3 linked regions of the Drosophila melanogaster genome follow. The protein of the gene in region 2 interacts with the protein of the main gene of each other region in a pairwise test. Each region holds a gene or a part of one and is shown on either strand. Other genes may lie near its edges. The genes, in order: CG14104, Usp10 and CG46385.

Region 1 (2,778 bases), about 19 Mb from region 2:
GTTGGAATATTGTTGTTTGGGTTAGTAGCCGGCATACTAAATGGCTTTAAGTTTCCAAACAGGAGGCACTGAAGAAGATGCGAGATGTGGACGACAAGATTATATATGCACTAAATGCCCTGCCAACGGAGTCGTTTAAGGGTCAAGTGAACAGTGAAAGCACCTGTCGCGATCTGTACGCGAAGCTCCAGGAGTCACACTTGGCCAGGGTAAATCCTGATTAAGTACAACACACGGGGATCTTGACAGATAGCTTCTCCTTGCAGCAAGAAAGCATACGCAGTTGCATAACAATTTCGGCTAGTAATCTGAAGAAGCTAAGGGAAAAGCGGGAGACCCAGCCGGATGATGTGGATACGGATAACCAGTTTAGGGCGGAGCAGCGCAAGGTAACCGAAATACCTAAGTCTTACTCTTAACTGATGCCTATGATCCTTTCCAGCTGCGGGTTCTCCAGGCCGAGCTCAATGTCGAGGACATCATTAAAGATCGTTCCTACAAGACCTTCAATGAACGATGCCGGTCCTATTTTCATGCTGGCCAATAGGTGGAACAAATGCAATGACTAGTTTTAGGTGGATTTATTAGCAGAAGTCTCATGGAACTGCCAAGCCAGAAGGCATTTACATGCACTCCGTTGTATTACAAGTTGTTTACAACAAGTACATAAATATAACAGTCTAAAAAGCACAAACTTTATTCGTCGCGGGGCAGGTTGTATGTAGCGTAAACCGATCCGACGGGTACGCATTTTAGGTTGGCCAAGGCTTCCAGGACGCGCTGGGTGGCATCCTTTAGGTCGTTGTACTCGTGCAGCAGTTCAATGATCTTCTTTTTCTGACCCTCTGACGTTTCATTTGTCTTATTGGCCGTTTTGCGCGACTTTTTCTTATTTTCTTTCATGTTTAAATTAAATGCAATTGGATTGGAATTACTGCTATCGGTTGATATCGCTATCGATAGCGCGTCAGCTGTGTGCATTGCATTTTGACAGTCCGGCATCCCCGTTCCTCACAACGTGTAAAATCTCCCGTCCCCTTGCATGATTAAGACGAGAAAAGGATTCTCCGGAACAGGTAAATTGTGTTCTAATTACGTATCTGAAGGCGCCTCTTCTAACCAGGAGTTGTGGTGGCTCAAAGAAGGGCGTAACCGGAGACCAGCGAATGGCTCATGCTGGCTGACCTAAGCCCGCACCTATACGCACAAACGCAAAGCAGCCGTGTGTGCACATATGTACATACACGTACAATGAAATGTGAAAGTGTTGTGATTGTGCATTTTGCCAGGAAAACTGAATAGTTCATTAAATGTGAACCTATTATATGTAAATTATTCGCCTGACAACGTAATCTTTATGTTTCCGGAAATGTAAAATTAGCCTAGAGCAGGCGCTAAGCGAATGTTCAGTGGTTACAGGGCGTAATAATCCTGGTGGGAGTGGATGAGAACATTGGGGAACACCTAGTGATGATTATAAACGTTCAATTCAACTAGTTCGCATTCCACGACGACCTCTACCTATATTTTCTAGATTATTTGCACTTTCGTTTAGCATTTGATCACAGTAGCGGCGAAAATCAAGTCGCACTCACTTTTTATCTGAAACCTGTCTTTACGACTTAAATTATTCTGTTCTCAAAGAAATATTTTTTTTAACTATTTCAAGCTTTTGAATTGCCAAGACGACGAAATGTCTGCCAGCCACAAACAGCGTTATAAAAATGCCGCCTTGGACTCCACAGAGATGCGTCGTCGTCGCGAGGAGGTGGGCATCCAGTTGCGAAAAAACAAACGCGAACAGCAGCTCTTTAAGCGACGCAATGTGGTTCTTGAGCCGGCTACATCCTCAACATCAGCCGGAGTGGAGAGCAACACCGATAACGAACAGCAGGTATATTTTGATCAAGTTTGGCCTGATAGCATAGTCTTAACTATCTCTCCATTCCAATGCAGGCTGCCGACATGCACATGGCTGACAGCAGCACTGGCGGTCAAAACGAGGAAGCTGCTGGAAGCGGGGCACAGCCATCCGTAATCAACGAGGAAATGATTCAAATGCTCTTCAGTGGACGTGAAAACGAACAGCTTGAGGCGACTCAAAAGTTCCGCAAACTGCTGTCCCGCGATCCCAATCCTCCCATTGAGGAAGTCATCCAGAAGGGGATAGTGCCACAGTTTGTCACCTTTTTGCGAAATAGCGCAAATGCCACGCTGCAGTTCGAGGCCGCCTGGACGCTAACGAACATCGCATCGGGCACCTCGCAACAGACCAAGGTGGTTATCGAGGCCGGGGCAGTGCCTATCTTCATTGATTTGCTCTCCAGTCCCCATGATGATGTTCAGGAACAGGCCGTGTGGGCCCTAGGCAACATAGCCGGTGACTCACCCATGTGTCGAGACCATTTGCTCGGCTCCGGCATTCTAGAGCCTCTCCTGCAGTAAGTTATAAATAATTATATTGATAAGATTGCGCCAAAGTAGGTGTGACTTCTTGCAGTGTATTGAGCAACTCGGATCGCATTACCATGATACGGAATGCGGTGTGGACACTTTCAAACTTGTGCCGCGGCAAAAGCCCTCCCGCAGACTTTGCCAAAATTAGCCATGGTCTACCAATACTGGCACGGTTGCTGAAGTACACTGATGCGGATGTACTAAGCGATACTTGCTGGGCCATAGGCTACCTGTCAGATGGTCCCAATGATAAAATCCAGGCTGTAATTGATGCGGGTGTTTGCCGTCGCCTGGTTGAGCTGCTATTGTAAGTAGTCCTGC
Region 2 (3,760 bases):
TTACAAAATTGGTCAATGGCGAATGGAAAACTAGTCAATGAAAAGCAATCGGAACACGGATTAAGTTCGATGCACATATATAATTAGTTGTACGCTCTCAGTGTTAATCCCCACATTACAGCATTATATGTACCTATACGATTATATATCTGAGTGTTTATTTGTAATCCATGCAATTACAATGTTTCTCGTTCCATAATAGATGTTGAAAATCCCACAGCAATCCGAAAATTCAAAATGCCCGAGTTGGTTTAAATGGAAGGCCGAACACGAATCTCTGTTGATGTGCAGCGAATTTTTGTATAATTGTTCATTGCATGTTTAATATTGCATAAATAAAAACAAACAATGTGTGTCTAATAATAGTCTTGGTGTTTTGTATTGTCGAATACGTCCGAAATAGGTTTTAATAACATAGTCAAGCATTCAAATTACCCGCCAATTTTCCACAGCGTTGCCATCGGTTGCAGGCGGGTGGCCACCCTGGCCATCGATAGCACGCGCCGACGATTATCGCACTGTCATCGAATTGCGACAACCCTGGGAGCAGGAAGGTTTTTCGGCCGAAAAATAGAGAACAATAAAACGTTTGTGGCCCTCAGCAATATAGGGATCGCCGAGTGCCGTGTTAACCGGTGACCTCTCGCCCGTGCCCCGAGACCTGTGACCCCGCGCAACTGCCCGCCTCAATGTTAATTTGTGGCAGCAAAAGCAGCAGAATTTGGAGCAGCAGCGTGTAAAAAGTTGCGGAATTATCGTGGCACCGCGGAGAAAGAGAGAGCAGGAGAGAGATTGCCGCACGCATAAAATATGATCAAATTGCAAAATTGATTTCAATTGGCCACTCAACAAAAGGTACGTTCGATACACCCGCCCCGGCGCCCACGAAATTAGCACAATAATAACACCAAACACCTGGCTCCTCCATTTACATAAAACTCGGAAGAAGTAAACCTGGCAACTAGTAGGGAATCGTGGACTTTTTGCTTCCAGCGAACGTTATTTTCCCATTTCTTCCATTTGCCCTGCCTCTCCGTGTGTGCATGTGTGCGTGTGTGTGAGTGCGTGCATGTGCTGGTGTATGTGTGTTGTGTTCGGCAGAGATGAGTAATTTAAAACTCCCAAAGAACAGCAATGAATGTCTGTCAAATGCAGGTAGTTTTCAAGATGAACGACCAGCTTCCATGCCGAAGTCATTTCACTTTCCATGACCAACTTCTAATCTAGAAAAACCCATTAAAAGAGCCCTTTGAACCTGTTACATTCGTGACCGATATTTACGTGAGCCGGCAAATCGTCGCAATTACTCATCTCTAGCGGGCGCCGTGTGGCACCAAAAAATCGTCCAGAAAATGTCCAGAAATGCAATGGGCAGCAGTTAGTTTTGTTTGATAAATATGCATTTATAATGCGTCTACATTTGAGATAATTCCCGTGTAAGCCTTATTTAAATTATGCGTCTCTTTTGCTTTGTTTATTTGATTTTCTCATTACACCGTCTCATCACAGCTGTGCGGCCTTGCCAGATCGCTTTTCTGGCTGCGGCACGCGGAGTGGCGTGAATTGAAAATCGCATTTAATTAGAATTTAACCTGCGTCGGGTAAAATATAATGAATTTGTGCGCTCCAGCTGCATAAGCTAGTGTTAGAATTGAAGTTACTTTATTGATGTGATATATTTAAACGTGCGGCTCAAGATTTGTAGAATCAGCCATAGTATTCAACAGTTGGTCTTGTCAATAGAAATTGTTTTGAATCATTACCCTCATGCCCCCATACTTTATATTAATAAATTTAATTAGGGGACTCTAATAAATGGTGTATTCTTCTTTCGACTGCGTGCATAATTAATATTGATTGCCCAGTCTTATATAATTATCTCCTTAATGTACTAATTAATCAATTGCTATGCGCTCTCTTTCCGATCAGCAAAAACCAATTTCAATGTTTGGCGCCTGCTGCGACTCTTGAGACTCGTCTAAATCCGCAAGTACATTCAACCGGAATTTGAGCCAAGTTTCTAACCTTTGGCCTCAAAGCCATGGCATCCACGTCGTCGTCGGCTTCCACGACGGCGGGATCCTCCGGCGCGGCAGGCGGAGGAGCAGCCACGCCCATCTCAACGCCCTCGACGCCCCAGCCGTCTGGCGTGAGCAGCGGACCCGGCAATAATGGCAACAACAACAACAACCATCACAACAACACCCTGGTCTCACCATCCGGGAACAACAACTTGATGACGCCCGTCCAGGCATTCACTCCAACCGGACAGCCAGTGTACAATCCACCCGTCTATATGTCCGCCCACGGAGGACACCCGCACGCCGGAGCCCACTACCCGGCCATGATCCCCGCTCCGATGCCCAGCAATCACGTCTATGTGAACAACGTCACTGCCAATGTGAACCTGCATGGCTGGCCGCACGGTGTTCCGGCTTATATGCCACCCGGAGGTCAGCATCACTACATTGGACACGGCGACATGCCCCAGGAGCAGGTGGGTGAAACAGAACAGGATCTATATACATCTGTTCGATAATTTCGCTAATTACTAAGCATTGTTACTAGCTAGCACCTACATTACTGACCTTCTTACTTGTTATTCCACACAGGGCAACACGGTGATGCCGCACCTGCAGCCTGTGCCCATTAATTTGGCGCCCCAGGGCGGATCTCCGAATCCCCATGGTCCTAGAATGGGTGGCGGACGGATGCGCGAACGAGGTCGTCCCCGTGGCGGTGGACCGCGACGCAATGACTACCATGGGCCACGTCACCTCCAGCAGCAGCAACTGATCACCCTTCCGCCGCAGCAGCAACTGCCACCGCCGGACGGAGCCAATCCCGGGCTGCAGCTTCAGCCGGATCAGATTGGTCAGCAGTTGGCGCCGCCGGAGGCGCACATGCAGCACTTACAGCAGTACTACGCGGCGCCACCAACCTACGCCTACGGGCCATATCCCTCTCCCTACTTCACACCCCAACATGCCAATGTGCAGCCTCCCCCCAATGCCACTGCTGCCCAACAGGCAACTGGAACGCCGCTCTTCATCTCCGGACCGCTGATGTATAATCCTGCGTGGTTCAACCACGGTGGGTACATCTACCCCATGATGCATCCGGCTGAGTACCAGTATGTACCCGAAGACGCTGGCCAGCCGGGAGTGGATGAACGTGGAGCTCAGCCGGACGGCGGAATGACCCAGATCTGGCACCAGGGCCCCATGTACGCAGAGGACTTCGAAGCGCTACAGCAGCAGCAACAACAGCAACAGGTGGCTGTGCATCCCAATGGAGGTGCTGTCAGTGTAGCCGATGAGCTCAACCACAATAGCTCATCCCTGCCCTCCTCGGAGACGTCGAGCATGATCAGTCCAAACTATCCCATCTACGATCCACAGATGCACGAAATGCAGCACCAAATGGGCGTGATGCAGATATTCGACGATGGTCAGATGGCCGCCCTGCAGCCAATCCATCCAGGAGCGGGTCCGCTACCGCAGGTAAGTGGGCCTGGCATACCGTGAAGCTAAAGACAATGGCAATACTAAACATTTCTTATCGTTAATAGTACGAGGACGAGCTAGCCGAGTGCGGAGCACCGCCACCAGGCCCTATTCCGGTGGCCTGGACTGCTGCCATGCCCCTCCCTCCGGATGCAGTCCAGCCAGCTCTGCTGCCGCCACCGCCGCATCACATTTTGCAGCAAACGTCGCCCCTGTTAATCGAACAGCCAGCCCAGTTGGTTCAGGCGCAACCT
Region 3 (3,760 bases), on a different chromosome or scaffold from region 2:
CTTTATTTTTTCCCCTTGCTCTTCCTTTCGACACCGAGTCGCCGAGTAAATGTGTGATGATTGCTAAACTGACCACAAGATCAATAACTTTGACTCCCCATAAACTGCTAAGATTGCTCATTAAACTCTTTAAAAGTGCGCGAAATCCGTCTAAATATTTTATACTCTTTAAATCGCCTTAAGTTCAAAATTCGCTAGCATCTACTGAAGTTTATCAGTAGCAATAGGATATGGATATATGTAAGTATGTAAATTGTATGTACAAATGGGTCAGAACCAATCCAATGAATTTATGAGAATAGTTACGATACCCTCTGTAAGGGTATAGAAATAAAACAGTTCTCGGGCTACTCTTATTGTTATTTACCAGACTTTATGACTCAATCGCAATGAGAGAAATTCAAACTGATCTCTTTCAAATCAGTTAAGTGCTTTTCCAGAATTATCGAACACTAACCGTTCTTGAACCCAAAAGTGATGGATGAACGTAAGAACGACGATAATTATTCTTGTCTAACGAGCTAACATATTAGTTTTTGTGTCAAATAAATACTAATAACAACATTTGGGGTTCCCACGTGCGTTAAATTGCATTGTTATTGAACTTTTGCCCACAGCAAGTGTTCTACGAAGTTTATTTATTCAAGAGAGTACAAACGTTTTATATTTAAATGTAAGAAAAAGATTGATTAAATTGTTTATTTTAAGAACAACAAAAATGCACCAAATATACAAATTGATGTTTCATCTTTAAATGCAAAATTTTGGTTTCGAATTCTAGTTTTAAGTTATTTTTTTTGCATTAAGTATGTATGTACATATGTACTCAAAATATGTACTGCAATGAAAATATAGGAAACCAAACCACTTTGAGAGGATTTCGGGTTGAATAATATCTGAAGGTGTTTTCATCTACATATTGTACATACATACATATCTACACCGACAAAAAATAGCGAAACCGGAAATGCCAGATGCCAAGACTAACCGAGACCCAAAAGTGATGAGCAGGGGGGTGGAAGGGGAAGATGGAGGGAAAGGTGTATGCTGTGGTGTGTGCCTAGATTGTTATCCGCATTTCTGGTTTGCTTTTCATTATAGGCAGAACAGAATACAACACCATGCGGCACGATGCGATCTGCGAATACCCCGGACCCTGAGAATCGGCGCTGCAGTCACGTAGACCCACTAATTGAGCGAGATCAATAACGGTGATTGTGTGTGCACCTATATGCATATATATGTACGAATGTATTTACCTGAACAATTCGGACAGCTCGTGCCTAGTCGCGCATTATCCAAAATTACGCAGAACGGCTTCGGGTTCCGCCGCCGGGTGCTCCTTCTTCGTAGGGTTAAAACCGAACAGAATCCTAGCTAAAGTGGGGCACGGATTGCTGAATTTCCAAAGTATCGCTATCGGCGGTGGTCTATCGGTATCGGTATGCTAACGACGACGGGCAGCAGGGTGTGGGGGGAGTTTACCGTTCCGGCGAACCGCTGGCAGAGCGCCTTAAACTAAAGTCGAAGGGCGGGCCAGGATGGCGATCGGTGAATCCGGTATTCGGTTTTGATTTTGGATTACTACGGCAAGGTAACAAGCCAAAACTTTCGGTTTTCTCTGCGCACAGATTCTGACAGCTTACACCCCAATTGCTCGGTTACCGTTACTTTTCGTCTTACGATACCGTTGCACTGCACACACTGAGGGACACTTACGCACAAACACAAACACACGCGTTCGCTCACTCAACTTCCAACTTTGTGATTTGCGATTTTCGATTTGGAATTTGATTTTTGATTTGGAATTATTTCAATTTCACTTTTTCGCTCGCCTGTTGCCGTATTTGCTTCGTTGCTTTCGGACCACGCGTTTCGATCGTTTCGTTTTGCGGAAGCTTGCCCAAAAGCTTCGAGAATGTGGTTTTTCGATTTAACAGCAAAAAGGGCTGAACAAAGTTGCACTTGCACCTGCCTAAAAAGAGCGATATTCCGGTTGGATTATGGGAATTTTTAGTTTGTGCAAGTTTAACTGAACTCCTGGTGAGTTGCTAAAGTCAATATTCTGTCTAACGGCTGCTCTGCGTTCGATCGGATCTCGGTGGGCACTGTACAGCTCCCTGTGTTTGGTCTACTTGAGTGTCGAACATGTGACGAGCAACTGATGGCGCTGGCCTGCTCCATTGGTCCGCCGGCCAGGCGAAGACGCGCGACGGCGGCAGCGGTACAGTGGGTACAGTAAGGCCTGCCTAAAAGTACTTTCACTTAGAAAGGGCACTCATTGAAATCACTGGCCATTTGTTTTAAATAAAAAGTGGCTAAAACACATACATATGTATATTTTTATTTCACAGCTATTGGGTTCAGAAAAATAAGAGTTATTATTCGATTCCATTAATAGGTTAATTTTCAACGTTCTTAAAGTCTAATCTCTATTAACGTTCGATACATTTTACGCTAGTTGAATACAAAACCATAAACAAGACATTCGGCACCGTTCATTGTATAATTAACATTAGTAAATAATGGTTTGTCACTATCTGGAAGTTTCTAGAGTTTAAATACGTTTTCATACCTTAAGTTTTATGTACACGCCATTTTGTAAGAGGATTATGTACGTGATTAACTGCATATCATATAAATCTTATTCTCGTCGACGTTCCACTGTAGTGAGTGTGGGCAAAGCGGAGGCGCCGACAATTCTAGAGAGTGCCATCGAAAAGTTCGCGAAACGGAATTAGCAACAACAATTAAGTCGGAAATGAGCAGCTCGCTGTCTCTCTCGCTCTCTGACCATACTAAGCTCCCCCTCTTTAAATACTCGAAACCATCCATGTCTTTCTACCTTCGGCGAAGAAAAGCTTTTAGAGCTTTTGAGTAGTAGGTCCAGCCGGAATGTCCAACGTTTGGTCAGGTCTCGCATCTGCAAGGTAGAGAAAAAAGAATGAAATATAATTTGAAACTATATAAATTCTAGTTCCAAAAACCCACCTCCACATAATTGTACATGGCCAGGTCGCAAATGGCGAAGGCGTCCTGCCAGCGGGATTCGGTGAACAGGGCCAACGTCTCGTCCAGTGGCAGCTGCTTGGCCAAAATGTCGGTGAGCAGCGTGACATCCTCCATTCCAGCATTCATACCCTGGCCGTAGTACGGAACCATCGCATGGGCGGCATCGCCCAGGATCAGTGCCTTATCCGCATAATGATACGGCCGGCACTTGATGGACACCAGAAACTGTGGCCTGGTCTTGAAGAAGTCCTTTATGAGCTGTTGCTCTCCAATCAGTGGCAGTGCGTCCCGGAAGTTCAGCTTAAAGAATTCCAGGAGATCGTTTTGATTCTGAATGCCAGCGAAGATCTCAAAGGGCATGGACAGCGTGACCGTGAAAGACTTATCCTGATTCGGCAGGGCAATCATCATGAAGGTGTTACGCGGCCATATGTGCAGATAGTTGGCAGGCATCTGGAAGTCTCCCGATTTCGAGGGTATGCAGAGCTCCAGATACCCCGTTTCTATGTACTCCTGGGAGTAGTTGAAGCCCGGCAAACGGACCAAGTGCTGGCGCACACTACTGAAGGCACCATCGCAGCCGACTATAAGATCAGCATGGGCAGCTACGGCTTCCTTGGCGGGATTGCGGAACTCCATGGATCCCTCTCGCAGATTGGCACTTGTCAGCTTGTGCTCGAAGTGGCAGCGTATATTGGGCAGCTTATCGCAGGCATTCAAAAGGACTTCGTTCAGCTGTCGACGTCCC

What was found.
Region 1: the proteins of Usp10 (region 2) and CG14104 interact in a two-hybrid assay, tested with the Drosophila melanogaster proteins (one large-scale study listed by BioGRID).
Region 3: the proteins of Usp10 (region 2) and CG46385 interact in a two-hybrid assay, tested with the Drosophila melanogaster proteins (one large-scale study listed by BioGRID).

Annotation. Positions count from the first base shown.
Region 1 is NT_037436.4:19,806,244-19,809,021, forward strand, and holds CG14104 (uncharacterized protein), read right to left. Parts: upstream 957-2,778; 5' UTR 904-956; coding exon 697-903; 3' UTR 568-696; downstream 1-567. Other genes in the region: Ccdc58 (Coiled-coil domain-containing 58), read left to right, coding at 63-209, 267-389, 443-547; Kap-alpha1 (karyopherin alpha1), read left to right, coding at 1,694-1,894, 1,957-2,441, 2,501-2,764.
Region 2 is NT_037436.4:871,379-875,138, forward strand, and holds the start of Usp10 (ubiquitin specific protease 10), read left to right. Parts: upstream 1-1,532; 5' UTR 1,533-1,601; intron 1,602-1,929; 5' UTR 1,930-2,041; coding exon 2,042-2,497; intron 2,498-2,612; coding exon 2,613-3,503; intron 3,504-3,571; coding exon 3,572-3,760.
Region 3 is NT_033778.4:7,780,468-7,784,227, forward strand, and holds the start of CG46385 (uncharacterized protein), read right to left. Parts: upstream 2,171-3,760; 5' UTR 1,260-2,170; intron 1-1,259.